7 linked regions of the Cricetulus griseus genome follow. The protein of the gene in region 1 purifies or fractionates together with the protein of each later gene. This does not show direct contact. Links are inferred from orthologs where the notes say so. Each region holds a gene or a part of one and is shown in the gene's direction. Other genes may lie near its edges. The genes, in order: G3bp1, Vcp, Trim25, Mki67, Ybx1, Stau1 and Tardbp.

Region 1 (3,500 bases):
TTTTTGAGCCAGGGTTTTCTGTATTGCTTTGGAGCCTGTCCTGGAACAAGCTCTGTGGACCAGGCTGGCTTCAAACTCACAGGGATCTACTTGCCTCTGCCTCCTGAGTCCTGGGATTAAAGGTGTGTGCTACCAATGCCTGGCTATATTTACTCCTTTTTTTTTCTTTTTAAATTTATTTATTTTATTTTATATAAATTGGTGTTTTGCCTGCAAGTATGTCTATATGGGGAATCAGATCCCCTGGGAGAGGAGTTACAGATAGCTGTGAGCTGCTATGTGGGTGCTGGGAATTGAACCCAGGTCCTCTAGAAGAGGAGCCATTACTGCTGAGCCATCTCTCCAGTGCCTGTTTATTCCTTTTTAAACTTTAAGATTACTAGGTGTGGTTGTAATCTTTACCAGTTGCATTTGGAAGGGTGAGGCAGGCAAATCTGAGTTCAATGCCATCCTGGTCTACACAGTGAGTTCCAGGATAGCTAGAGTGTAGCAGGGAGACTCTTAGGAATGCTGAAGCGATGCTGTATAGTTAGCACAGTGAGTCAGTCCTTTTCAAGCACTTCTGATTGTTGACTGACACGTTTTGGTATTGTTTTACAGGTTGAATCCACCAAAGCGATGGTTATGGAGAAGCCTAGTCCCCTGCTGGTCGGGCGGGAGTTTGTGCGACAGTACTACACCCTGCTGAACCAGGCCCCGGACATGCTGCACAGGTGTGTTCTCTCTCACTTGCCTAGGAGAGGTGTTGTGGGATGGTCCTTCACATAAGCAGCTATAGGTAGTGGTTTAGAAAGGAAGAGCATAAGGTCCTATCTGTATCCCCGGCCTGGGATTCAGAGGTCTGCCTGCCTATGCCTCCTGAGTGCTGGGATTTTAGTGTTGTAGTGTAGAAAAGTATGTGGACTTAGCACAAACCCAAGCTGGAGCTGGAAGATGCTGCATGCACACCTATCTTGCTAATGCAGTTACAGCCTACGATTTCCTTTTCCTGCATTTTCATTCCCATTGAGGGTGTAGTGGAGAGGGGCCTGGTGGAGAGATGAGAGGCTATGAGCTATGAGTTCCCTTAAACATGTGAAAAGTAGCAGCATGTCTACATTGGCACACGCCTTTAATCTCAGCACTCAGGATACAGAGGCAGGTGAATCTCTGAGTTTGAGTCCAGTCTGGTCTACATAGTGAGTTCCAGGCAGAGCTACATAGGAGAAGCCTTCTCTTAAAAAGAGGGTAGCAAGGTTGCTAGAAAATAACATAGCAATAATGTGGGCTCACTTATTTTAGGGCTTATTGGGCTGACCTCAGATTTCTTCGGTGATCTTTAGTTGGCATTTGTTGTACATCTCTGTCCTTTTAATGAAAACAGAGTACAGGGTATCTGAGTGTTTAGGGGGGAGAGAGAGAGAGAGAGAGAGAGAGAGAGAGAGAGAGAGAGAGAGAGAGAGAGAGCAATAAAGGGATGAAAAGTTCATACTTCCCGCACACAGGACAACTGCCCACTGCCTTCTCAGGTGGGAAGGCACTGACTCTTTGGTTCATGACAGGGCAGCTGTCCTCAGCTGAAGCAGGAACTTGACTTTGATTTTAAGTGCCTGGCTTTGCTGACAAACTCCAAGCTCCTTCCCAACATGATCATCCTACCCTGAAACCTGGAAGTCGGGACTTGAAAACCACACACATGCCTCTTTGACTGAGACTGGTGCTGACTCTGGGTGTGTGTGTGTGTACAATGGATTTATCATGCACAAACATAGAGGCCCTGCTGTGAGCCTGCCAGTGAGGTGGATAGGGATCAAGCCTGAACACTAAGTACCTCATCTGCGTGTCCTTGAAGATGAGAAGTAAATTGCCTTCTCTTGTACAGATTTTATGGAAAGAACTCTTCCTATGCCCACGGGGGCTTGGATTCCAACGGGAAGCCAGCGGATGCGGTCTATGGGCAGAAGGTGGGTGCCATGGCCCAGTAGTAGAAGAGGAGGTAGCTTCTTGCCTACCAGGCAGTTAGTTCCTCGGGAGGGTGGCTCCTCTTTAATTCCTTGGTTTGCTGAAATGCCATTTCTGTGTTAGCTGGCTTCTATACAGCAATGTCATTTCTAAACTTAAAAGGTGTTCATTCAAGACAGCTATTTGATATCTTATTTTGGTTTTTCAAGACAGGGTTTCTCTGTGTAGCAGCTCTGGCTGTCCTGGAACTCATGCTGTAGACCAGGCTGGCTTTGAACTCACTGAGATCCTCCTGCTTCTGCTTCCCAAGTGCTGGGATTAGAGGCATGTGCTACTACGCCCGGTATTTTGTTTTTTGACACATAATTTTGATACATGTTTTTGGCTGTCCAGGAGCTTGCTATGAATATCCTGCCTCAGCTTCTCAAGTGCTTGGATTGTACATATATATAGCAGGACAGTTATTTTTTTAAGGGGCTGAGCTGTGATCACTGGAACCAGAGCACACACACACACAGACAGTTTATATTATATAAACAGCAGTGTATACATTCCCTTTATCTGTGTTGTATTGGGAAATTTTTACTTTTTAATTTTTTTTTAAGGCTATATTTTTGTTTTGTGTGTATGAGTGTTTTGCCAACATACATGTCTGTGTACCATGTGCATGCCTAGGGCCTGAGGAATCTGGGAGAGTGCTTGGATCCCTGGGAACTGGAGTTGCAGGTGATTGAGCTGCCATGTGGGTTCAGGGAAGTGAGCATAGGTCCCTCTAAGAGCAGTAAGAGATCTTAGCCATGGAGCCATCTCCTGCTCTGAGATGTTTGCATTTATTGATTTTTGGGTGAGTGTGACTGCCATGGCATACATGCATACGGAGGTCAAAGGGCACCTTTTCAGGAGCTCTGTTTCTGCCCTAGAGATCACATGTGGATCATTAGGCCTCACCAGCCTGGGATTATTTATTTATTATTATTTATGATTTATTTTTAGCTAGGTGTAAACTAGGTGTTAATTACAGTCCTATAGAAGTCTCTGGTTTTGTTGAGTACTGTTCTCACTGTTGAGGCAAAACACCCAATAGAAGCATTTAGGCAGGAAGGACTGTTGAGGCTCATGGTTCAAGGGTGTTGGTTGGTCCATCAGAGTGGGGCTGTAGCAAGGGCACGAGGTAAGTACTGGTACTTAGTTCCCATCCTCTTTTATACAACACAGGGCCCTAGCCTGTGGAATGGTGGTGTCCACGGTTAGGATGGATCTTCACATCATAATTGACCTAATCTAGAGACTCCAGGCATGCCTCCTAGGCAGCCCTAGCTACTGTCAAGCTCACTGAAGCCGTGGAATGAGTTTTTGCCCTTCAGTGTGCTTGTTTTGTTGCTCTTGATTGCTTTGAGACTCTGCTCAAGGAGCTTGTGGGAATAGGAGGTAGGGCTGAGTGTCAAGGACCTGATCTGAGAGAACACAGGGAGATGCCAGGCTCTGATTTGGTGCTGGTAGCTGCTACTGTCTTAGTTTTGGAACTGCTGAGTTCCTGGGGATTGACTCTTGCCTCCATT
Region 2 (3,987 bases), on another chromosome or scaffold:
GCACTGAATTTGCTGTGTTCTGCAGATGTCCTTGACCTCTTTGAGCCTGAGTGTTCTCCATCCACAGATAGTATTTATACACTGTGGCAAAGAATATGTACTCTCAAACTCCGGGAAATTGTAAAACCTGAGGGATTAGTCAATAGACTGAAAAATCAGTCAATAGACTGAATTAAGAGCTGGGGTTCTGCTGACTCAGAACTAGGGCCCAGGGAAAGGGTGACTAGGTTTTGGTAGACCTAGTCTAGCTGTGTAGCACTAGCTGGCTTCAAACTCAACCCTCCTGCTTTTAGTCTGTGGAGTACTGGCATCTAGGATGAACACCACCATACCCAGCTGTTTTTTTTTTTTTTTTTGTGTGTGTGGTTTTTTTAAAATTTTATTTACTTAGTTTTGATACAGGGTCTCACTATGTAGCCCTGACTGGCTGCAATTATTATTTTTTTTTAATAGACCAGCCTGATTTAAATCTCAAGAGGTCAGCCTGCCGCTGTCTTCGAAGTGTTGAAATTAAAAGCATGTGCCACTACACTGCTTTTAAAATTTATTTTTGAGATATTCCTTTGACGCTAGAATTATAGATCTGCACCACTATGCCCAACCCGGTTTTGTTTTTCAGAAAAGGTCCTGAATTGATCTCCAACTAATAATTCTCCTGCCTCTGCTTCCCAATTGCTAGGGTTACAGACCTAGACCATCCACCACGCCCTTCGTTGGAGCCAGTGTTTTAAAGGGTTATTGTGGTGGAATAAGAGGATCGCCAGGATTGGCGAGAAATCGACTACGTGGGTTGCCATTACAACCCGACTAAACTAATAAGGGTTCAAGCCATTGTGTTAGGTTCTTCCAGCAGCTTATAAACTAAGGAGCCAATCAGCTGGAGCCAAGTAGGAGAGGCCTCCTCGGAGGCATTAAAGGCTCTCCTTTTACCAGACAATCTGGCCTATTCCTTTTGCTGATTGGTCAAGAATCCCAATCCGTCGAGGAAGCGTAGTGCTGCGGCCAATTGACGTGGCGTTACTAGGCGTGTTGCAGCCTTGAGGTGGGGCCAGGCCATAAACGAATTTTCTGATTGGTTGTGGTCCGCGGGTTGCTGGGGAGAGGCACGGAGAGGCGGGCACGAGTCCCAAGGCAGGCTCTGATTGGTTGAGGTGAGAGCAGCTTTCCTTCCGATGATTCGGCTCTTCTCGGCTCAGTCTCAGCGAAGCGTTTGCTGCCGTCGTTTGATTAGTCGCTGCCGCTGACCCCCTCGCGGATCAGGAGCTAGCGTCTCCCGCCCGCCTGCCGCCCCGGTGCCGCTGGGAGGAAGCGAGAGGGAGGCTGCCTGAGGGTTTGTCACCGCTGTTGATCCACCGCCTGAGTGAGTCAAGCCCGGGCCTAGCCGGTCGCCTGCCATTCTCATAGCCGTTACCCTCAGGCCGCCACAGCCGCCGACCGGGACAGGCGCGCGCCATGGCCTCTGGAGCCGAGTAAGTGTATGCGCGCAGGGCCGCCGCCCGCCGCGCCCGCCCGCCGGCTGGGCGGAGGCGCGCACGCGTGGGACTCGCCGCGCTGGGTAGGCCCGGTAGGGCCGCGTCTGAGGAGAGTCTAGGCCGGGAGGAGAGGGACGGAAGGAGAGGAAAGGGGCGAGTGAGGGCCTCGGGCCGGGCTGTGCACCCGCGCGCCCCCTAGGTCGGGCCCGCGCTGGGCCCGGGTCTGAGCCTGGGCAAGATGGTGCTGTGTCATGCAGGCCCCGGCTGGCCTGACGAGCTCCCTCGGCAAGGCGGCCCCGGCCTACTTAGGCCTTAGGGTTCACACTGCCGGCACGGAGCTCTGTGGCTCTGGGATGCCCTCCGGCCACTTCACCGACCACACGCGGAAGACCCTAAGCCCGCGAAGAGAAAACACTGCAAGCCGGAGGCCTCGACTGGGCCCAGTGGGCGTGGACTTTGGGCCACGTGAAGGCCTCAGGAGCCCTGAGACTCAGGGGAAGGCCGGGCCGAGCAACCTGGGGGAAGCCAGGTCGGCCTTGGTGGAGCCCGTACGGCCTTGCCTGAGGTTGGCATCTTTTGCATCCTGGGTAGTGAAGGGCCTGTTAGGTCGTGCTTTTCTCAGATGGCAATTTTTCACCATGTTAGGCCTGTTGTAAATACCAGGAAGCTTTACCTATTATTTTTATTATTTTATTATTTTTGCTATGTTCAGGGGGTGGTTAGAAAACTGTTTTTCTATTTTAACGTGCTGAAGTTAGAATCTGAGTTTGTTTTGTTTTTGCTTTCTGTGTTTTGACTTTCAGAGATTGCAGGTTAGAGTTGTTTTAACTTTTAAATAACTCTTAAATATGCACACTTATCCAAGCAGCAACGATCAGAGATTGTCTGGGCTTTAGGATTTTAGGGCCCCAACTTTTAAGGAAAGCATCAAATAAAACCTAGTCATTTCAGCCCATTCAGTTGAGAAACTAGAGTTTACCATACTGAAAACAAAACAAAAAGCAGCAAGCCTAGGAAACTATACAAATCTTCTGTCGATGTTTTGAGGTGATTAGGTGTTTTTAAGTTTCATTTCCTTGGAATGAAGTATTCACTCAGTTGCTTAGTTAAAAGTACTAATATTTTAAATAGCCAGGGTGTGTTGGGTGGTGCACATCTTTAATCCCAGCACTTAAAGGCAGAAAGTTCTAGGCTATCCTGGTCTTTACAATGGGAGTTCCTGGGCTACATAGACCTTGCCTCAAAAAACAACAAAATATACTTTAAAAGTATTCTGTGGTATTTTACCTTTGATCTCTCTCTCTCTCTCTCTCTCTCTCTTTCTTTCTTTCTGGTTTTTTTGAGACAGGGTTTCTCTGTGTAGCCCTGGTGGTTTTGGAACTCACTCTTTAGACCAGGCTGGCCTAGAACTCTGAGATCCATCTGTCTCTGCCTCCCAAGTGCTGGGATTATAGTTGTGCTCTGCCACTGCCCAGTGTAGACCAGATTGGCCTCAAACTCAGCCATGTAGTCAAGGCTGTTTTTGAATTCCTGGTGTTTCTGTCCCCTGTCCCCAAAGTAATGGGATTATAGGAAAATCACTGTATGCCCCAGAAACCAGAACATTTTATTTATTTATTTATTTATTTATTTATTTATTGGTTTTTTGAGACAGGGTTTCTCTGTGTAGCTTTGGAGCCTATCCTGGCACTCGCTCTGGAGACCAGGCTGGTCTCTAACTCACAGAGATCCGCCTGCCTCTGCCTCCCAGTGCTGGGATTAAAGCATGTGCCACCAACGCCCAGCTCAGAACATTTTATTTTTAAGACTGACTAAAATCCTCAAGATGAACTGGATGCTGCAACAGCTGCCCTCTTGGGTTTAGGTGTTGTCCCTTCACGGAATCCCTGTCTGAATATTCGATTGACAACTTTTAGGTGCTTCATTCGCCCACTGAGGCCAAAGAGACTGGAAGATCCTTTTTTTTTTTTTTAAATTAAAATTTCTGAAATCTGGCATCATAGGTGGTTTCTACCTTTAGGTTCTCACCTGAACTTTCCCAAGTTCCCTTGTGTGGTCTTTGAATTCTGGAAAGGACCTGAGTCATGCACAGATAGATTTTCGTAAAGAACATTTAGAAGCTGCAGTTGCTTTCAGCTCTGTTAGAGGTTACCAGCTCTAATCTCTATGGGTAGCTGAATTATAGGTCTTTTAACAGCCATACCACTCATCTCTAGAGCAAGGGTCTGGACTCATAGTCACATTGGAGGTTGTCCTGAAATCAATCAATCTCTCTCTCTCTCTCTCTCTCTCTCTCTCTTTCTTTTCCCAGACAGGTCCAGACAGGGTTTCTCTGTATGACAGTCTGGCTGTCCTGGTACTTTATAGACTAGGCTAGCCAATGCCAAGTGCTGGGATTAAAGGTGTTCATCACCATGCCCCACTTCTAAAGTGAAGTTTTGAGATTAAAATACAAAATGATAACTTGAAGTATTATCTTCAGTTCAGTCCTGAAAATAAGAAGATGGGCAGCCTC
Region 3 (3,500 bases), about 32 Mb from region 1:
AGTCACCAAATCTGTCATGTGTTTGAGGAAACACTTGACACTCCAAGCCTAGTCAATAAATGTGCTCTCTGCCCAACTGGCTTTAATGCACACTGTTGCAGTGGTTCTCCCTCTTTTTTTTTTTTTTTTAATCTTTCCTGTCTTTAGTTTGTGCGTGTATGTGTGTTTATGCTTGTGTGTGTGTGAGTGTGGACACGTGGTGCATGTGTGAAAGTCAGAATTCAATCTTGGTTGTCAGTCATTACCTTCCACCTTGTTTGAGACAGGGTGTTTTGTTTGCCATGGCATAAGCCAGACTCACTGGTCTGAAAGTTTCCGGGTTCTCCTATGTCCGTAAGCCATCTTACCATGAGAGTTCTGGGAGACATGCATGCTACCCCATCTAGCATTATCTGGGGTCTGAAGATCTGAACTCGTGTTCTCATGCTTGCATAGCAAGTGCCCTTTGCCCAGTGAGCCATCTCCTGAGCCTTGTGTTTCTCACTATTTTCCTCTATTGACCTCTCCCACTGAGCCATAGGCAATGTTTTCCTAATTGTCCCCTCCAGTGAAAATTTGATTCTACGCGTGTACAGTATATCGGTTTATTTATAAAAAGAATAAGCAGTAACCAGGGCATGGTGGTTGCATGCCTTTAATTCCAACACCTGTGAGTTTGAAGCCATCGTGGTCTACATAGGGAATTCCAGGACAGCCTGGGCTATGCAGAGAGACCCTGTCTCAAAAAAAGGAAAAAAAAAAAACAAAAAAACAAAAAAACTCGCTCTCTAGACCAGACTGGTCTTGAACTCACAGAGACCCACCTGCCTCTGCCTCCCAAGATTAAAGGCATGTGCCACCACCGCCTGGCAAAAGAACACCTTTTACACCCCACACCTCAAGCCTTAGATTTTTATCCCTGTTCCCCTCCTCCATCGGGGATAGTGTCACTGTCACTGGGAATGTGGACATTGGGCTGGAGAAGAATAGTAGGAATCTCCTTGCTCCTCACATTTGGAAAATAATGACAGTTGAGCCCGTGGGATGAAAGCAAGTGAGGTTCCCATGGGACACACTGATTGTTAGAATTCTTTATAACCCTTTTAAACCAGCAAGCTGTAACTATTTCCCCGAGGTCTACTGAAAAGGCATCTAGATGCCCGCTGCTAGTGTTGTCAGGGGTGTAAGAGGTGCACTTTACTGCTTGTTGCTTGTATATAATGTGTGAGTTGTCTTTAGCAAACCACTGTTGGGCATTGGTCTCTCTGTGGACTAGAACACCTAGTGACAGGGTGTGCTTGGAAGAGCCCTGGGGAAGGCAGGATGTGTTTTTTGTTGTTGTTGTTGTTTTGTTTTTGTTTTGTTTTGTTTTGTTTTTCAAGACAGGGTTTCTCTGTGTAGCTTTGGAGGCTGTCCTGGCACTTGCTCTGGAGATCAGGCTGGCTTCGAACTCACAGAGATCTGCCTACCTCTGCCTCCCAAGTACTGGGATTAAAGGAGTACTGGGATTAAAGGCGTGTGCCACCAACGCCCGGCCAGGATGTTTTCTAAGCACTATTGTGACATTTTAACCAAGACTATTTTTTTCTGACCTCCTCTTTTTTGCTTGTTTTTTTTTTTTCCTTTTGCAGAGTTCTAATCTGTAGCAAAATGCACAGACCCTAAATGTATAGTTAAATATGTCTTTGACAAATGGGTTCCATCTTATCATTACCCAAACCAACGTAAACACTTCTTAGAAATTCCTTCCTATTTCCTAATAGTCTATAACCCCATGACCCCATGACCCCATGACCCTGGTCAGGGTTCCTGTCCTTGCAGATGTGTGTTTGTCCGCCACCCCCTATATTTTAAGTTAGGCAGGCTAGCCTTCCTTAGTTTGTATGTGTCAAATGCATATTGATGAATGTTACTATGGTCTTTTGTGTATGCTTTAAAATTCCTTAATCCTAAAATCTCTCTTTTTTTAGAGGAAAAGAAGACCAAGAAACCAAGTAAGTTGTACATTTGTGTATCTCTTGGTTCTCAAGACTTGTGTGAGTCTAGAGCTAACGTTGAGAGCAACAGCTGTACTGCTTTAACAAGGGTTCTGCCATGGCCCTGTTCTTACAAATGTACGCTGTGAAGGCAGGCAGGCTTGAGCAGGGAAGGGAGGCCCACCGTGCATGAGTAAGAGCCTTATCTGGACTCACTTGTGTGGCCCTGGCTGGTCAGATGTGTTTGTGAAAGTTGACAGCCATCTTAGAAGGGGGGAGAGGTCATCCAGTCCTCTGTGTCATATTGCTGTTTCACCTTTGTCTTCTCTTGGCTCTCAGCTGGTGCTACCGGCTCCTTTCCCAGCTCTTCCTCATTCAACAAGCTTCCCACCTTTGGAGCTCCTGGACAGTCAATGGATTTTAAAACAACTGACCCTGATGGTGAGTTGTTGTGACCAAGTGCCAGAGAAATATCTGCCATTTGTCCCAAGCTTGTCTTGAATACCTCTCTCTGTTTCCTCTTCTAGCCGCACCCAAAGCCAACACCTTGCAGCCAAACTCTACTGCACTCAAAGCTAAGATGCTAGAAAACTTCTTAGCCAAGTCTAGGGCCGAGCTTCTGGAGTGTGAGTAGCTTGACTATGTGGATGGAAGAGTGGGTGGGCAGATACAGATAAATGGGTAGATGGATGGGTGGGCAGGTAGTTGGATGAATAGACAGATGAATGGGTGGTCAGTGTACCAGTGAGTGGGGAGTTGGATGGGTTAATAGATGATGCGTGTATCTGAGTGGGTGTTTGGAGAGATGAATGGCTAGTTGGATGGGTGGGTGGGTGGGTGGGTGGGTAGATGGATAGGTGTATGTGGATAGGTAAATGGATGAATGGGTAGGTGTGTATATGGTCGGGTAGATGGATAGATGAGTGGGTGGGTGAGTGAATGGATGGATGAATGGATGAAGTGTGAGTGGGTAGGTGGGTATGTGGATATGTGGATGGATAGGTGAATAGCTGGGTGGATAAAATAAATGTATAGATGGGGAAGGCTTTAAAAGTGAAAGTACCTTGGGTCTCTTGTCATTGATTCCCGGGGGGTGTTTTCTCAGATTACGTTAAAGTCGTCTTCGACTACAATACTGCCCACAACAAAGTGGTTCTGTCAGACAACTATACCACCGCCTCCGTGGCTGAGGGACTTCAGCACTACCGTACCCATCCCCAGAGATTCACCTACTGCTCTCAGGTTCTGGGGCTACAATGCTATAAGAAAGGCATTCACTACTGGGAGGTTGAGCTGAAGAAGAACAATTTCTGCGGTGTAGGCATTTGCTACGGCAGCATGGATAGGCAGGGCCCGGAGAGCCGTCTGGGCCGTAATGCCAACTCGTGGTGTGTGGAATGGTTCAACAACAAGATCTCTGCCTGGCACAACAATGTGGAGAAAACCCTGCCCTCCACCAAAGCCACTCGAGTTGGTGTGCTTCTCAACTGTGACCATGGCTTTGTCATCTTCTTTGCTGTCACTGAAAAGGTCTATTTGATGTAT
Region 4 (3,500 bases), on another chromosome or scaffold:
AGGCTATGGGATTTGCTGAATGGACTAGTGTGGATGGGCACTTCAGTGATTCCCAGACCCATCCATTCTGCAGTGAGTACCAGCTCAACTTCTCATTCTGTGGTGTCCAAAAGACAGGAGCATGGCACACAAGCTTTTCAGGAAGCTTCAATCTTTTATATGGAGTTATGTCACTACTGCCTTTTGGTTTTAAAGTGAATGTGGATGGCACTTAGATTATAATGTGTGTGTGTGTTCTTTCTTACTTGATAGCACTGAAAATGGTCAATGCTCTGTCAATATTCTACATTGTGGGCACACATTATTTGTACATAGGATTTAGATCCTGAGAAACCTAGGATTTCTTGAGCACAGAACAAGGCCCTTAGGTTGTGGATTCCTGGCAGATGTCCCCTGAGAACAGGTGCCCATGTCCAGCTTTTGTCCTTGTGTCAGGACTTACTTGTGGGAACTAATGTAGAAGACTACTGAGGTCAACCAAATCACTTGCTTTGCTCTCCTTTTCCAGAGGAGAGGATTAGAGAAATGATATATTTAGCTTCTCATCCGCCCCCCAACCCATCCATTTTTAAATAAGCATGTTAACAAAATCACCATTTTAATGAGATGATGCAGACCTAGAATCTGAGAGTTTCTCTGTCATATAGCTTGTCCTGTGTGGGAAATGGGATAATGTAAGCCATGTTTCCAATATTTTCCTTTATCAGGACTAACTGAAATGTTCAAGACTCCAGTGAAGGAGAATCAGCAGCAGATGAATGACAAGGCCTCCATTCTTTCAAATTCGGGGAATTTGCCCGAAAAACAGTTTGAAGTAACTAATTCAGAAAACAAACCTCTGCCTAGCACCTCAGAGATTTTAGGTTGGTGTATTTCTCTATTCCACTGTTATATTTTGAATGGGGACTTAAAGATGGCTTTTTTCTTTATGGACAATATTGTATTCCTCTGTACAATAGCTTGCCCTGGTGAAATGCCATTCCTCTAGCAGGCTTTGCAGTTTTGCTGACATTGGTCATTAACCTAGTTTGGAAGGAAGAACTATTCACTCAGTTAATAAGTTTAAATGATGTCTATATATGCTTTTAACATCTTTGTTATAAGAGAATGGAAGCACAAACAATACACTTGGCCTGTCATATATAAATTACACATATTAAGAATTATTGCAAGGATAGAAATGCAACTCACTTGGTAGAGTGCTATATTGCAAAAACTTGGTGTGGTGATGCCTGCCTATAATCCCAATCTTTGGAATCAGAAGGTCATTGCTGATTACATATAGAGTTTGATAATGGGCCCTAAACATACACAGTAGAACCTGTTACTTCATTAGTGAATCGAGATAATAAATAACTGTTTTTGATGTTTCAGAGTAAAAATTGCCTGTCTTCAGGTCCTTGTCACATGTCATGGCAGCCTTTAAAAGATGCTTCTTAAGGACCTGCTCTATCATCAAATAACTTGAGATCATGTAGTAGCTTATTATAAGAAACTAAATTATTGATTCTTATACACCTCCTAAAGATAAAATACTAAGTTGACGACCTTAGATGGTAAAAATGTTTATTGTATAAATATATTTTGTTACCTATAGGAGAAAATGTGCTCTCCAGTACTCAGAATGCAGCAAAGGAACCATCTAATAAATATTTTGCAAGTCCTACCTTAAGGCGGAGGAGCATCAAAAATGGAAACACAGTACAAACTCCTAAGAATGACCATGACATTGCTCATGTAGAAAAGAAGACTCCAGGTTCTGTGACAGAGCCTCTGAAGACAGTTTCCAGTGTGAACAAGTTAAGAAGGTCTAGAGAGCTTAGACATACACTTGTAGAAAGTATGAATGAAAACACAGAAGCAGGCCTTGCCAAGGGCATCACAGGAAGACACTTAAGGAAGACATCACTGCAAGGACAAGAAGTAGATCAACAGATGCAGGACAGTGAAAACACTTCACAAAGATTCAAGGAAATTATTGAATTAAAAGAAGTTACAGAAAAAACATCAGCTAAGAGATCATGTGCCAGGGAGAAGAAGCCAACAAAAGACTCAATGGGAAGTCAGATGACCACCCAAACAGCAGCCTGTGCTGAGGAACTATTTAATCAAGAAAAGGGAACCATAGAAACACCAGAGGAATCCATGCGCATGCAAAACATACCAATGAGTGATGGTCGAAGAGATGCAAAAGAGAAAGTGGACCTAGTATATGAAACCAAAGTGAAGTGCTGGTCAAGGACCCCTGACAAAAAGGCACAACCTCTAGAAGGCCCAGCTGGTCTCAAGGAGCCTTTTGAAACACCAAGCTGCAGAGAAAAACCCATGGGTGATGATAAAACCAAAGTCTTTTGCAAATCCCCACAACCCACACCAGAGAATACCAAAACAAGCACAAAACCATGGCCCAGCACATCTGGAAGGAGAGTAGACATGAAAGAAGAACACTCTGCACTAAATTTTGTGGACGTGTCAGGAGGAACTAGGTATACCCCCAAAGTTCAAGAGCACAGGGGCATCAAAGCTTTGAAGGAATCTGAAAATCAAATGCTGGACTTGACTGTAACTGGTAGCAAGAAGCCGGTAAGAAAAGTTAAGGAAAAGACGCAACCCCTGGAAAACCTAGATGGCTTCCAGGAACTCTCTCTATCACCAGTCCCTGCTGACAAAATCACAAAAATGCCCAACAAATCTCCATGTGTAGAACGTATCAGAACCCCAGCAAGCAGAAAGAGTCTGTCCAAGACAGGTGTTGGTAAGGTGGAAGTGACAGAAGAGCTTTCAACCTCTGGGAAACGAACAGAGTCACCAGGCAGAGCCACACGCACACCCACAGCACCAGCGCTGGAAGAGAGCGACAGCACAGACATTATGCAAACTCCAAAGCAGAAACTGGTCTTCACAGGGAATTCAACAGGACGCAAGAGAAGGTCACAGGCACCTAAAAATGGGGCTCAACCCCTAGAAGACCTGGATGGCTTCCAAGAACTCTTCCAAACTCCAGTTGGTACCAGGGATCCAGTGACTGTTAGGGAAACTACAAAGTTGTCTTTGGAATCTGCACAAGCAGAACCAGTCAGAACTCCAGCAAGCAGAAAGAGTCTGTCCAAGACAGGTGTTGGTAAGGTGGAAGTGACAGAAGAGCTTTCAACCTCTGGGAAACGAACAAAGTCACCAGGCAGAGCCACACGCACACCCACAGCACCAGCGCTGGAAGAGAGCAATAGCACAGACATTATGGAAACTCCAAAGCAGAAACTGGACTTCACAACAAATTCAACAGGACGCAAGAGAAGGTCACAGGCACCTAAGAACAGGGTTCAATCTCTAGAAGACCTGGATGGCTTCCAAGAACTCTTCCAAACTCCAGTTGGTACCAGGGATCCAGTGACTGTTAGGGAAACTACAAAGTTGTCTTTGGAATCTGCACAAGCAGAACCAGTCAGAACTCCAGCAAGCAGAAAGAGTCTGTCCAAGACAGGTGTTGGTAAGGTGGAAGT
Region 5 (4,214 bases), on another chromosome or scaffold:
ACCCCAATGCACATAAAACAAGAGTAGGAATTTTATTTATTTATTTATTTATTTATTTATTTATTTATTTATTGCTGTCTCTGCTTTAAGCAAAAAGTAATGGCAGAGAAGCCTAACTTGCTTCAGGATCAGATTTTCCAGAACTGACAAAGGGAGGCCTTTAGCCGGCAAGGGATAAGGGTTACTACACTAACTTTCTTCTTGTAATTGCTATTACATGTATTTATTTACTGGGGGGTGGGGGGGTGGGAGATGAATGCCACAGTGCTCATATAGGAACTAGGATCTTCAGGTTTGGTCTCAAGTGCCTTTACACAGAGCCACCTTGGGTCCCTTTAATTGCTTTCCCTGCTTCCATCCTTCCTCTTTCTGCAGCCCATTCCCCAAGCAGCAGCCTTTTCTTTTTAAGATGAGACTCCCTACTTAAAACTCTAAAAATTACCCTCCCCACTTGTGACCTCAGGATGAATCAATCTCACATTAAATACACCTAGTTGACCCTGCCCACCTCTACAACCCATATTTCTTTTTACTCCTACTGAATCCCTTTATTTGCATTTTCCTTGAGGCCCTCTAGGCCTTTGCACAAACCTATCTTTGCCTGAAAAGTCACCACCCAACACTTCCTTCCTTCCCCAAAGGCTGTGGTCACCCAACTATGAAGTGTTAGGCGTGTAAGTTTGTGCCTCCATCAGAAGGCAGAAACTTACTGGCAAACTATTTAAATGCCTCGTCAATAGTAGATGCCTAATAAAGAATGAATGAAGGTATAGGCGGGGGGATTCAGTAGCACCAGACAACCTGTATTTTACAGGATATAAAAACATGGATTGCAATCCTTGTCAACATTGTTGCTTGGTGTGGGGGGAAGGGGGAGTCTAACTTATCCACTAAATTAAATCCAATTTGTGGCCAGTATGAAACACATTCCTCGTGCGCCCGGTAAAGGAGCACCCCCGCCCTGAAAACACTGATTTCGTGGCAGCCGGAGCGCCTGCGTGGTCCCTCCAAGGTGACTGGACCGCCAAAAGCCTGAGCCATTAAGGAGGCCGCGGCGCTCACCCGGTCCAGGGAGAGAGCCCCTTCTAGAAGCACGGGTAGGCCCAGCCACCGCGGCCCACGTGCGCGACGAGCGCAACCCCGTGCGGACACGTTCCCTCTACGCGTCCTCCCGGTACTCTATGGTGCTCACGGCCGAGCAGCTCATTCTAGTTCCGGTCTCTATGGCGGCGAAGGCAGGAGCGGCTGTGGGTCGGCCGAATTAGTCGCCAAAGGGCCCAATGAGCGCGCAAGAGACGCGGAGCGCGAGCCAATAGGCGCTAGGGACCCGGTCAGGTGGTAGGATTGACGATGATCCTGGCCAATAAAAGAGGATGAGGGCGGGCCTATCGCGGGGCTTATCCCGCCCGTCCCGCCATTCTCGCTAGTTCGATCGGTAGCGGGAGCGGAGAGCGGACCCCAGAGAGCCCTGAGAGCCCCACCGCCGCCGCCGGCCTAGTCACCATCACACCCCGGGAGGAGCCGCAGCCGTCGCCGCCGGCCCCAGTCACCACCACCGCAACCATGAGCAGCGAGGCCGAGACCCAGCAGCCGCCCGCCGCCCCCGCCGCCGCCCTCAGCGCCGCCGACACCAAGCCCGGCTCCACGGGCAGCGGCGCGGGTAGTGGCGGCCCGGGCGGCCTCACATCGGCGGCGCCCGCCGGCGGGGACAAGAAGGTCATCGGTGAGCCCCAGAGGGGACCGGGGGTGGGCCGCGGGCCGGACCGTTAGGCGAGCGGCCCCGAGCCACCGACTGCGCGGCCGCCCCTCCCCCCCGAGGCCCGCCGCGCGCGCACGCCGGGCTCCCGCCGCCGCTCCGGCCGCGGCCGCCCCTCCCCCGCGCCCACCAGCCTCGGGTCCTCGTGCGCGGGATCCCCGCCCCGCCGCCTACGCAACCGGAGCGGCGCGGGCTGCTTTTCCCGGCCCTCACGTGCTCGCCTCCCGGGCGCACACCCACCTCGGACCCGCGCTGCCCAGCGCACCCACGTGTGCGGTGAGGGCGGCGGCCCGGGCCTGCGGCCGGATCCTGGACCGACTTCCAGGGCCAGCTGCTGATTGGACCTTGTTGTGCTTTGTTTTCCAGCAACGAAGGTTTTGGGAACAGTAAAATGGTTCAATGTAAGGAACGGATACGGTTTCATCAACAGGTGAGATGCCGGGGTAGAAAAGCTCGGGCCCGCCTCCCTGCATGGGTAATCTCAAGGGCCGGTTCCACCGCGGGCCTGACAGGGAGAGGGGTTGGAAACCTGGTGTTTGTTCTTGGGTGACGGGATTAGTGGGGTCTGTAGGCTTGCTTTGTTTTGCCGTTGAATACCAATCTTGAGCTAGCTAGCCTCAAAGCTTTGGCACAAAGCAGGTCTATGCAAGCGCGGCGCATGAACCATGCCTTAACAGTTACCTTGCATCAAACTGAGGCAACTCCAGGCTAAGCACGTTTTTAACCTTGACATCCTTCCTGCTTCGTTGAAATTGCTATGTAAGAATGTGACCCACTAATTAACATACAGGTGATTTTTTTTTCACCTTGTTAACCTCTTGGGGAACATGATTTGACATGTCAAGTGCCTGAGATGTTATCTGCACTGTAAGGTTATGTTGCCTTTGTTTAGTCGACTCAAATATGCATTCCTTGTAGAACCTCGAGCACATTTTCTATAGAACTCCTATAGCCAAAGACGATTCATATTTATCCAAAACGACAAATAATACATCCGAAGAAAATGGTTCTTCCTCAATTTTTATTTCTTCTACTTCCTTGTCCGGGAATCATGGCTGATCAAATCAATTTTTGTGAAAGCTTGGCTGTAGCTTACTGGAGTGGCCTTAAGTCCTTAATCTAGTTGCAAACTACATCTTCATAGATCCAGAGAATGGTTTAGAATGGTTTGTAGCCGGTGGTGGTGGTGGTGAGTGCAGTGGCTGCACTCTGGGCTCCCTTGTGAGCCCGGCATCTTTTTCAAGATGGCTGCCAAGGCTAGTGCAGTTGCATGGGTGTAGAGCACCGCGAGTGCCAGCAGCAATCCTGGCCGTACAGCTGTGAGACTTGGCGCCATTTCAGCATTTTCTCTCTTACATGCTTGCTTAGAAGGCGTTAAATAAGTAGATGGTGGGAAAGACGCTTAAGAGTGACTGAGTGCTTGTGAAGTGGACACTATCAAATTGGCAGCTAGTCTTTTAAAATAACGGAGTGATGAAAAACCGTTCATTGAACCACGCCGTGTTGTGGAAACACTCAAACAGAAGCGATTACAATCACTTAATGGTCTGTTCTCTATAGTAGCAATTACAGGGAAACATTTTGTTTTTCCAGACTAGGATTTTCTACTGTGGTAGGCTGTTCGCTTTCCTGAGGAATGCTACATTTTCCATGTTACCCCCCCCCATGGGTTACTAGTGAGCAAAGAGGGAAATATAATATTTTGCTGCTTGTATAGGGTTAGTTACCTGGTGGCTTTAAACTGGTCATTGTCGGTGCTTTGGTTGAGATTTCTATCCTAACAGTCCCAGAGGATGCTGAGACTAGTCTGTATACCCTACCTTCCAAAGGACAGTTTTAGAACCCTTAGCCCAGTGCTGTTAACTAGTCCTCTTTGGCCACATTTCTAGTTGGGTTAGCTGTGGGGTTTTTTGGTATGCATTTAATAAATTTTAGCGTTTGGCTAGGCTTATCACTTTCCTTTAAGCAGTTTTTTTCCAAGATTTGTATACTGTTCTATGTTGTGCAATTGTGTAGATTACAATAGACTGTCCTTAGTAGCTTAGTTGATCATTTTTCTGGGCAACTTAAATGTAATTAGCTTATGATGATCCTTTGTTAGAATATCTTAACCCCAATTACTGATTTAATTGTTTAAAATGTGCTTGTTTCTAAGCAGACCATTATATTGACGCATTGGTTTTTAAATGAGATAATAACTGTTGAGGTTTGGTTTCAGTGAACTAGAGGTTTGTCCTACTTAAACAGTATAGAATGTAAAATGGGAGATAGGTATTTGGAATGCACTGTGAATTCTGAGTTGTATATTCTAGGATTGTTTGTTTTTTGAGACAGGGTTTCTCTGTTGCTTTGGAGCCTGTCCTGGAACCAGCTGGCCTCAAACTCAGAGATCCACCTGCCTCTGCCTCTGCCTCCCCAGTGCTGGGATTAAAGGCGTGCGCCACTAACACCAGGCCCT
Region 6 (3,500 bases), on another chromosome or scaffold:
GTATGCTGGAATTTGTCCAACAGCCAGCCCTCAGAAGAGTGGTATGGGAGGGAGGCATCACTATGGTTAGATCCCTGTCTTTATAAATATGTTGATGGAAAGGATCGAGGCACACATTTTCCATACAGTATTCTTTATTGTAGATTTTAAACGTTTCTAACTTGAATGTGGCCGTCACAGCAATAGTTTCAGAATTGGCTGCACAAAACACCTTTTCCATCCTGTTTAGCAAAGTCATCCCCGGGGCCTTTTGGCAGCACAGCAACCAGTTTCTGTTGTGTCTTAGAAGGTTCAGCCACAGGTCTTTGTTGTTTTCTGCAGGTAAAGGTTGGGAACCACACTGCAGAAGGAGCGGGTACCAATAAGAAGGTGGCCAAGCGCAATGCTGCTGAGAACATGCTGGAGATCTTGGGGTTCAAAGTTCCCCAGGCGCAGCCTGCCAAGCCAGCACTCAAATCAGAAGAGAAGGTGACTGCTGGGACTCTCACTGCCAGGTGGCCTAGCTCCCTGCATGGGCAAGCCTGGGGCAAGGCTTCATCTTCCCTGCAGTAAGCAGCCTGCCCCCTGGGGTTCGTCCACTTGATAGTGTTTGCAGGAGGGAAGTTTCCTGTCCAGTTCACCGTGTCCCACGAGTGGTTTGGTTAAGTCTGTTTAGTGTCGCTGTGGGCTGGATGTGCATTTCTGCAGGATGTCCTGTTCTCTCCTGATGGGTAGTTGGGATTGGAATGAATACGTATGGCTACCATCTGTGCTTCAAAGGGGTTTGCATGACATATTGCTCCTATGGATCTGGCTTTGGCTTCTCTGGGACAAGATAGCATTGTTAACAAAAGGCCAAATCTATATAGTTCAGATTGAGAATTCTCCTGTGATTCTTAGTTGAATATTACTCTGCAGAGTGGTCAACAAGACTCCAGGAGAACATCAGCCACTATTGCTGGCTCCAGCCGTTGTCCTTGGGGTTCACTAAAGTAGGACTGAGCCTCTTCTGAGTTCTGCATTTCATGACTAGAAACAGCTCCCACTGTGCCTGCAAAGTCACTACCTGGGACGCAGACATTCCATATGGAGTTGCATAAACCTGGATTTGGCTTTCAGATTTCCCATTTGAAAACCCCCTTGCCTTGTGTCTGACGGTCATGCACTAAATGCCTCTGTGTTCTTTGTGGAAGCATTTCTGGATGTTAGTTCTAGGTAATGTAAGGCACCCCTCAGCACCAGTGCAGACCCTATCTATTCTCCCACTGGGCTGAGCACTTCTAAACCAGCACTTCCTGGTCCTTGGCACAGAGCCAGCTCTGCATTCATGATCTGCTCCATGTAAATGCCAGCATGGGCAGGCATGAGAGCTTGTGTGGTGTATGGGTGGCGATAAAATGCACACAGACCCCAGCGCTTGTCCATGCTCACTGCCATTTTTCTTTCTTAAGACCCCAGTAAAGAAACCAGGAGACGGAAGGAAAGTAACGTTTTTTGAACCTAGCCCTGGGGATGAAAATGCAACTAGTAAGTGTGACCCTCTTGATCCCGTGTCTGGGTTTGCATGGTTATTATGTGACTGAAGCACAGGAGCTTGTATGTGCTGAGGTGGTGAAGAGGGCACTGTAGCTTCTTGGGTGTTGGGGTGGCTGTGGTGACCTGTATGTCCCTCACAGGTCATAAAGAGGATGAGTTCAGGATGCCTTATCTGAGCCATCAGCAGCTGCCAGCCGGGATCCTCCCCATGGTGCCAGAGGTTGCCCAGGCTGTTGGGGTTAGTCAAGGACACCACACCAAAGATTTCACCAGGGCAGCTCCGAACCCTGCCAAGGCCACGGTAACTGCCATGATAGCTCGAGAGTTGTTGTACGGGGGCACCTCGCCCACAGCCGAGACCATTTTAAAGAGTAACATCTCTTCAGGACACGTACCCCATGGACCTCGCACAAGACCCTCTGAGCAGCTGTACTACCTTTCCAGAGCCCAGGGATTCCAGGTAACTGTTTGCCTTTCTGTGGTCATCTCTGGGCCTCAGAGAATGACCTTTACAGCATCTTCTATATGAAGAACCCAGGTTCTGTCCCCCAGTACTACAGAAACCAGGAAAAGTGAGATCATATGGTCTGAGTGTAAAGTGTGGCTCAGTGCAGGAAGTGAGAGAGGCAGGGGCAGGTCTGGGGTGTGACAAGGTGGCTCACTGCATAAAGGTGCATTGTCACCAAACCCGACAGTCTGGAATTGGATTGTTGGTGGAAAGAAAACTAACTGCAGCAAGTTGTCCTTTTACCTGCATACCCGGCATGCCACGTGCTTTACACACATGCACGCACGCACCAGGGCAAGTGTATGTGGAGGGGGATTATGGAGTAAGAAGCATGACAGGTCTCTAGGGAGAGAAGACACTTTTCTTTAGGAAGCAGCATTTAAAACCTAAGTAGGACCCTGGAGGATTCTGGGCTGGGGTTCACATGGCTGGGTGTGTGCTCTTCTCTCTTAGGTTGAATACAAAGACTTCCCCAAGAACAACAAGAACGAGTGTGTGTCTCTCATCAACTGCTCCTCACAGCCACCCCTTGTTAGCCACGGCATTGGCAAGGATGTGGAGTCCTGTCACGATATGGTATGTGGGCCCCAAGATTGCGGAGAGAAGCTGGCTGAGCCTGGCACATTGCCTTGTTCAGACTGTTGGTGGTCTCAGGAAGAGGGACACGTTCTCCTGTAACCTTTCAAACAGTCTAAACTCTTCAGCCTCTATTCTGGGAGCTGTAGAAAGTTGCCCCCCCCCCCCACCAAGTCTGTTCAGGTGACGTTAAACCCTAAAGGAGAGGAGTCTGCATACAGGAGATTTGTCACTGGCTAGAGCAGACATCTCGGAGTTAGGGGGGAAAGGGGTCAGAATGAGTTCTAAGGTAGCCAGGGCTACACAGAAACCATCTTGCTGGTTGGGGGCGGGGTAGGTGATTCAAACATTACATTGGGAGGGGAAAAAAAGTTTTAAGACATTGCTATCCATTTTTTGATATCTCTTTCCAGGAGAGTCTGGCTTGTTCTCTGGCTGACTATTCCTTCCTTCCACCCTTCTAGGCTGCACTCAACATTTTAAAGTTGCTGTCTGAGTTGGACCAACAGAGCACAGAGATGCCAAGAACAGGAAATGGACCAGTGTCAGCGTAAGTGAGCATTTGCAGGGTCAGTGTGGTGTCCGTCCGTGGAAGGCAGGAGTGCCCTGAGTGAATGTGAGCAGCAGGTCAACTCTGGGGAAGCAGCTGCAATCTGGTTTGAACCCCTGGAGAGCCCCATGTTTTCTAGGCAGTACCCTCCTTGATGTAGACCTGAGAATAAGCAAAAGGTTGATGTTGTTTTAATGATACATGGTAGTACATCTTGCCCTCACTCAGTGCCCACCCCACTCACTCTCCTCTGTCCCACTTTGTCTTGCCATGTGGGTTCTAGGAACTGAACCCAGCTCACTGGAAGAATAGCAGTGCTCTTGACCACTGAAGGAACTGCAGCCTCTCCTG
Region 7 (2,739 bases), on another chromosome or scaffold:
CAAGGTGTCTGATACCCTCGATCAGTCAGATAAATTCCATGCCACAAAATTAAAAGGAAGTAAAATTGCATTGATTTAGATACAGGTTTTGAGGAGGACATGCAGTTGATTTTATAATCCTACATTATTGAAATCCTGGGCCAGGGAGATAGCTGATTTGGTAAAGACACTTGCAGAGCAAGACAGACATCCTGTCTACCTCTAGAACACACTTAAAAGGGCAATTGCAGTGGTTTGCAGCCTAACAGGGCAGAAGTCCAGAAACGGCTTACAAATGTGTATACAGATCAATTTTCAATAAGATAATATAAAACTAGAATGGGGTGGTCATTCGAGACGGGGTATAACCCTGGCTGTCCTGGAACTAGCTTGCAGACCAGACTGGCCTCGAACTCACAGAGCTCCACCTATCTTTAAAGAACTGCTAAATATGGGTTTATGCTCGCTTTGTTTAGATAACAAAAGGAAAATGGATGAGACAGATGCTTCCTCGGCCGTGAAAGTGAAAAGAGCAGTTCAGAAAACATCTGATCTAATAGTGTTGGGTCTCCCTTGGAAAACAACAGAACAAGATCTTAAAGACTATTTCAGTACTTTTGGAGAGGTTCTTATGGTTCAGGTAAACTTGATTCTGGGTAACAGCTTTCCTTTTGTTTATTCTGTATATATGGGTCATAACAGTATCGATCCTTATTAGGAAGTAACACCAAAAATTTTATGATTGGAGAGTCACCATAACAGTGGGAACTGTATTAAAGGGTGAAAACAATAGGAAAGTTGAAAATTACTGGTTTAAAGGAACTAGGTCATATTAGAACTATTATATTTGTGCTCATTGTAAAACATTGTTAAGTTCTGTCGTGAGTCATTCATTCCCTGTTAATGATGCAATTCCCTATTGATTCTTGCCTTGGACTAACGTTATTAAACATTAAACTTTAATGTGCTTTTTCGTTCAGTTGAAGCCATTCAAGTTTCTATGTGAACTCTGATTTGGTATATATGTGGTATTAGAGTAAATTTCTTTTCTTAGGTCAAGAAAGATCTTAAAACTGGTCATTCAAAGGGGTTTGGCTTTGTTCGATTTACGGAATATGAAACCCAAGTGAAAGTGATGTCACAGCGACATATGATAGATGGGCGATGGTGTGACTGTAAACTCCCCAATTCTAAGGTATTTTGCTCTTTTCCTGTATGCTTGGGTGATTTTTTTTCTTTTAAAAGACCTTAAATTAAGTGCATTTGGAAACATTGACGGCAGGAAAAGTTTTCCAAGGCAGGTGTCTCTGTAGCCTTGGATGGCCTCAAACTCGGTATCCACCTACCTGCCTCTGCTTTCCAGGTGCTGAGATTAAAGGTGTGGGCTACTACCACTCAGCTTAATCTTAGGGAGTTTTGTTTTTTCTTCTGAGTTTTCGAGACAGGGTTTCTCTATAGCTTTGGAGGCTGTCCTGGAACTCACTCTGTAGACCAGGCTGGAACTCAGAGAGATGTGAGTACCCTGATTAAACCTAGTAGTGTCGAGTGCTTGACCACTGAGCCTATAACCCCAGCCCAAACTTACGCCAAACAAGCAAATGAGACTTTAATTATTTGGAACATTTCTTTTGGGGTCAAAGTATACTTTGTTTTTCGGGACAGGATTTCTCTGTATTGCTTTGGAGGTTGTCCTGGAACTTGCTCAGTAGGCCAGGGTGGCCTCAAACTCAACAGTGATCCGCCTGCCTCTGTCTCCTGAGTGCTAGGATTAAAGGTGTGTGCTACCAATGCCTGGCGGGAACACACATCTTTATTTTGAGACAGGGTTCTCTGCATGGTCCTAGCTATCACTCTGTACACCAGACTGGCCTCAAGCTCAACACAGATCAGCCTGCCTCTGCCTTCTACGTGCTGGGGTCCTGTGTTTAACAGCTAGGTGTGGTAAGATATACTTGTAATCCCACCCCTGGAGGCGGGAGGCAGGCTAATTCATGGAGTTTGCCTGGCTACCAGTCTAGTTAGCCAAATACGAGTTCAGTGAGACCCAGCCTCATAAGGAAGGTGGAGAATGACTAAGAAAGATGGCTAGCATCAACCTCTATCGCAAATGTGACATAATGGTCTCTTGGTATTACATTCCTGTAATTCTAGCACATGGGAGGTAGTAACAGGATCAGGAGTTCCAGATTGTCCTCACATATCAAGCTTAAGGCCATCCTTAAAACGGGAGAGCCTGTTTTAGAAATCCGAAGGAAATGAGGAAGAAAAGTTAATTAGTAATTGTTTTTGGAGAAGGACTGGTTCAGTTTTCAGCACCCATATGGCAACACACAACACTATAATTCCGAGTGACCCAATCCCTTCTTCAGACCTTTAAGGGCACCAGACATGTACTTGGTTCAAGATTACAAGGGCCCACACCTTTTAATCTCAGTACTCAGGCACAGGCCATCCAGAGATAGACAGTGAGACCTTGTCTCAAAAAGCAAAGGGAGGGGGGCAGTGACAGTATGCCTTTATGTATTTTTTTTCTACTCTTCCTTTTGACCAGCAAAGCCCAGATGAGCCTTTGAGAAGCAGAAAGGTGTTTGTTGGGCGTTGTACAGAAGACATGACTGCTGAAGAGCTTCAGCAGTTCTTCTGCCAGTATGGAGAAGTGGTAGATGTCTTCATTCCCAAACCATTCAGGGCTTTTGCCTTTGTTACCTTTGCAGATGATAAGGTATTTTTCTTCTTCATTTGTATCGGGGCTGGGAATTT

The links.
Region 2: the proteins of G3bp1 (region 1) and Vcp purify together in Homo sapiens (affinity purification with mass spectrometry; 3 studies listed by BioGRID, with this or other methods). This does not show direct contact. The link is inferred for Cricetulus griseus from reciprocal best matches to the Homo sapiens genes G3BP1 and VCP.
Region 3: the proteins of G3bp1 (region 1) and Trim25 purify together in Homo sapiens (affinity purification with mass spectrometry; 4 studies listed by BioGRID and IntAct, with this or other methods). This does not show direct contact. The link is inferred for Cricetulus griseus from reciprocal best matches to the Homo sapiens genes G3BP1 and TRIM25.
Region 4: the proteins of G3bp1 (region 1) and Mki67 purify together in Homo sapiens (affinity purification with mass spectrometry; 3 studies listed by BioGRID and IntAct, with this or other methods). This does not show direct contact. The link is inferred for Cricetulus griseus from reciprocal best matches to the Homo sapiens genes G3BP1 and MKI67.
Region 5: the proteins of G3bp1 (region 1) and Ybx1 purify together in Homo sapiens (affinity purification with mass spectrometry; 3 studies listed by BioGRID and IntAct, with this or other methods). This does not show direct contact. The link is inferred for Cricetulus griseus from reciprocal best matches to the Homo sapiens genes G3BP1 and YBX1.
Region 6: the proteins of G3bp1 (region 1) and Stau1 purify together in Homo sapiens (affinity purification with mass spectrometry; 3 studies listed by BioGRID and IntAct, with this or other methods). This does not show direct contact. The link is inferred for Cricetulus griseus from reciprocal best matches to the Homo sapiens genes G3BP1 and STAU1.
Region 7: the proteins of G3bp1 (region 1) and Tardbp purify together in Homo sapiens (affinity purification with mass spectrometry; 3 studies listed by BioGRID, with this or other methods). This does not show direct contact. The link is inferred for Cricetulus griseus from reciprocal best matches to the Homo sapiens genes G3BP1 and TARDBP.

What each region holds. Positions count from the first base shown.
Region 1 is NC_048600.1:69,666,131-69,669,630, forward strand, and holds part of G3bp1 (ras GTPase-activating protein-binding protein 1), read left to right. Parts: intron 1-600; 5' UTR 601-618; coding exon 619-713; intron 714-1,861; coding exon 1,862-1,943; intron 1,944-3,500. UniProt on the Homo sapiens protein: Protein involved in various processes, such as stress granule formation and innate immunity. Plays an essential role in stress granule formation.
Region 2 is NC_048595.1:100,536,905-100,540,891, forward strand, and holds the start of Vcp (transitional endoplasmic reticulum ATPase), read left to right. Parts: upstream 1-1,187; 5' UTR 1,188-1,452; coding exon 1,453-1,469; intron 1,470-3,987. UniProt on the Homo sapiens protein: Necessary for the fragmentation of Golgi stacks during mitosis and for their reassembly after mitosis. Involved in the formation of the transitional endoplasmic reticulum (tER).
Region 3 is NC_048600.1:102,153,050-102,156,549, forward strand, and holds part of Trim25 (E3 ubiquitin/ISG15 ligase TRIM25), read left to right. Parts: intron 1-1,949; coding exon 1,950-1,973; intron 1,974-2,294; coding exon 2,295-2,396; intron 2,397-2,482; coding exon 2,483-2,581; intron 2,582-3,060; coding exon 3,061-3,500.
Region 4 is NC_048596.1:65,227,095-65,230,594, forward strand, and holds part of Mki67 (proliferation marker protein Ki-67), read left to right. Parts: intron 1-707; coding exon 708-863; intron 864-1,597; coding exon 1,598-3,500. UniProt on the Homo sapiens protein: Protein that associates with the surface of mitotic chromosomes and acts both as a chromosome repellent during early mitosis and chromosome attractant during late mitosis.
Region 5 is NC_048595.1:32,872,798-32,877,011, forward strand, and holds the start of Ybx1 (Y-box-binding protein 1), read left to right. Parts: upstream 1-1,414; 5' UTR 1,415-1,563; coding exon 1,564-1,723; intron 1,724-2,122; coding exon 2,123-2,186; intron 2,187-4,214. UniProt on the Homo sapiens protein: DNA- and RNA-binding protein involved in various processes, such as translational repression, RNA stabilization, mRNA splicing, DNA repair and transcription regulation.
Region 6 is NC_048599.1:12,481,749-12,485,248, forward strand, and holds part of Stau1 (double-stranded RNA-binding protein Staufen homolog 1), read left to right. Parts: intron 1-321; coding exon 322-468; intron 469-1,430; coding exon 1,431-1,506; intron 1,507-1,655; coding exon 1,656-1,975; intron 1,976-2,476; coding exon 2,477-2,599; intron 2,600-3,063; coding exon 3,064-3,149; intron 3,150-3,500. UniProt on the Homo sapiens protein: Binds double-stranded RNA (regardless of the sequence) and tubulin.
Region 7 is NC_048595.1:7,784,997-7,787,735, forward strand, and holds part of Tardbp (TAR DNA-binding protein 43), read left to right. Parts: intron 1-455; coding exon 456-619; intron 620-1,033; coding exon 1,034-1,174; intron 1,175-2,530; coding exon 2,531-2,701; intron 2,702-2,739. UniProt on the Homo sapiens protein: RNA-binding protein that is involved in various steps of RNA biogenesis and processing.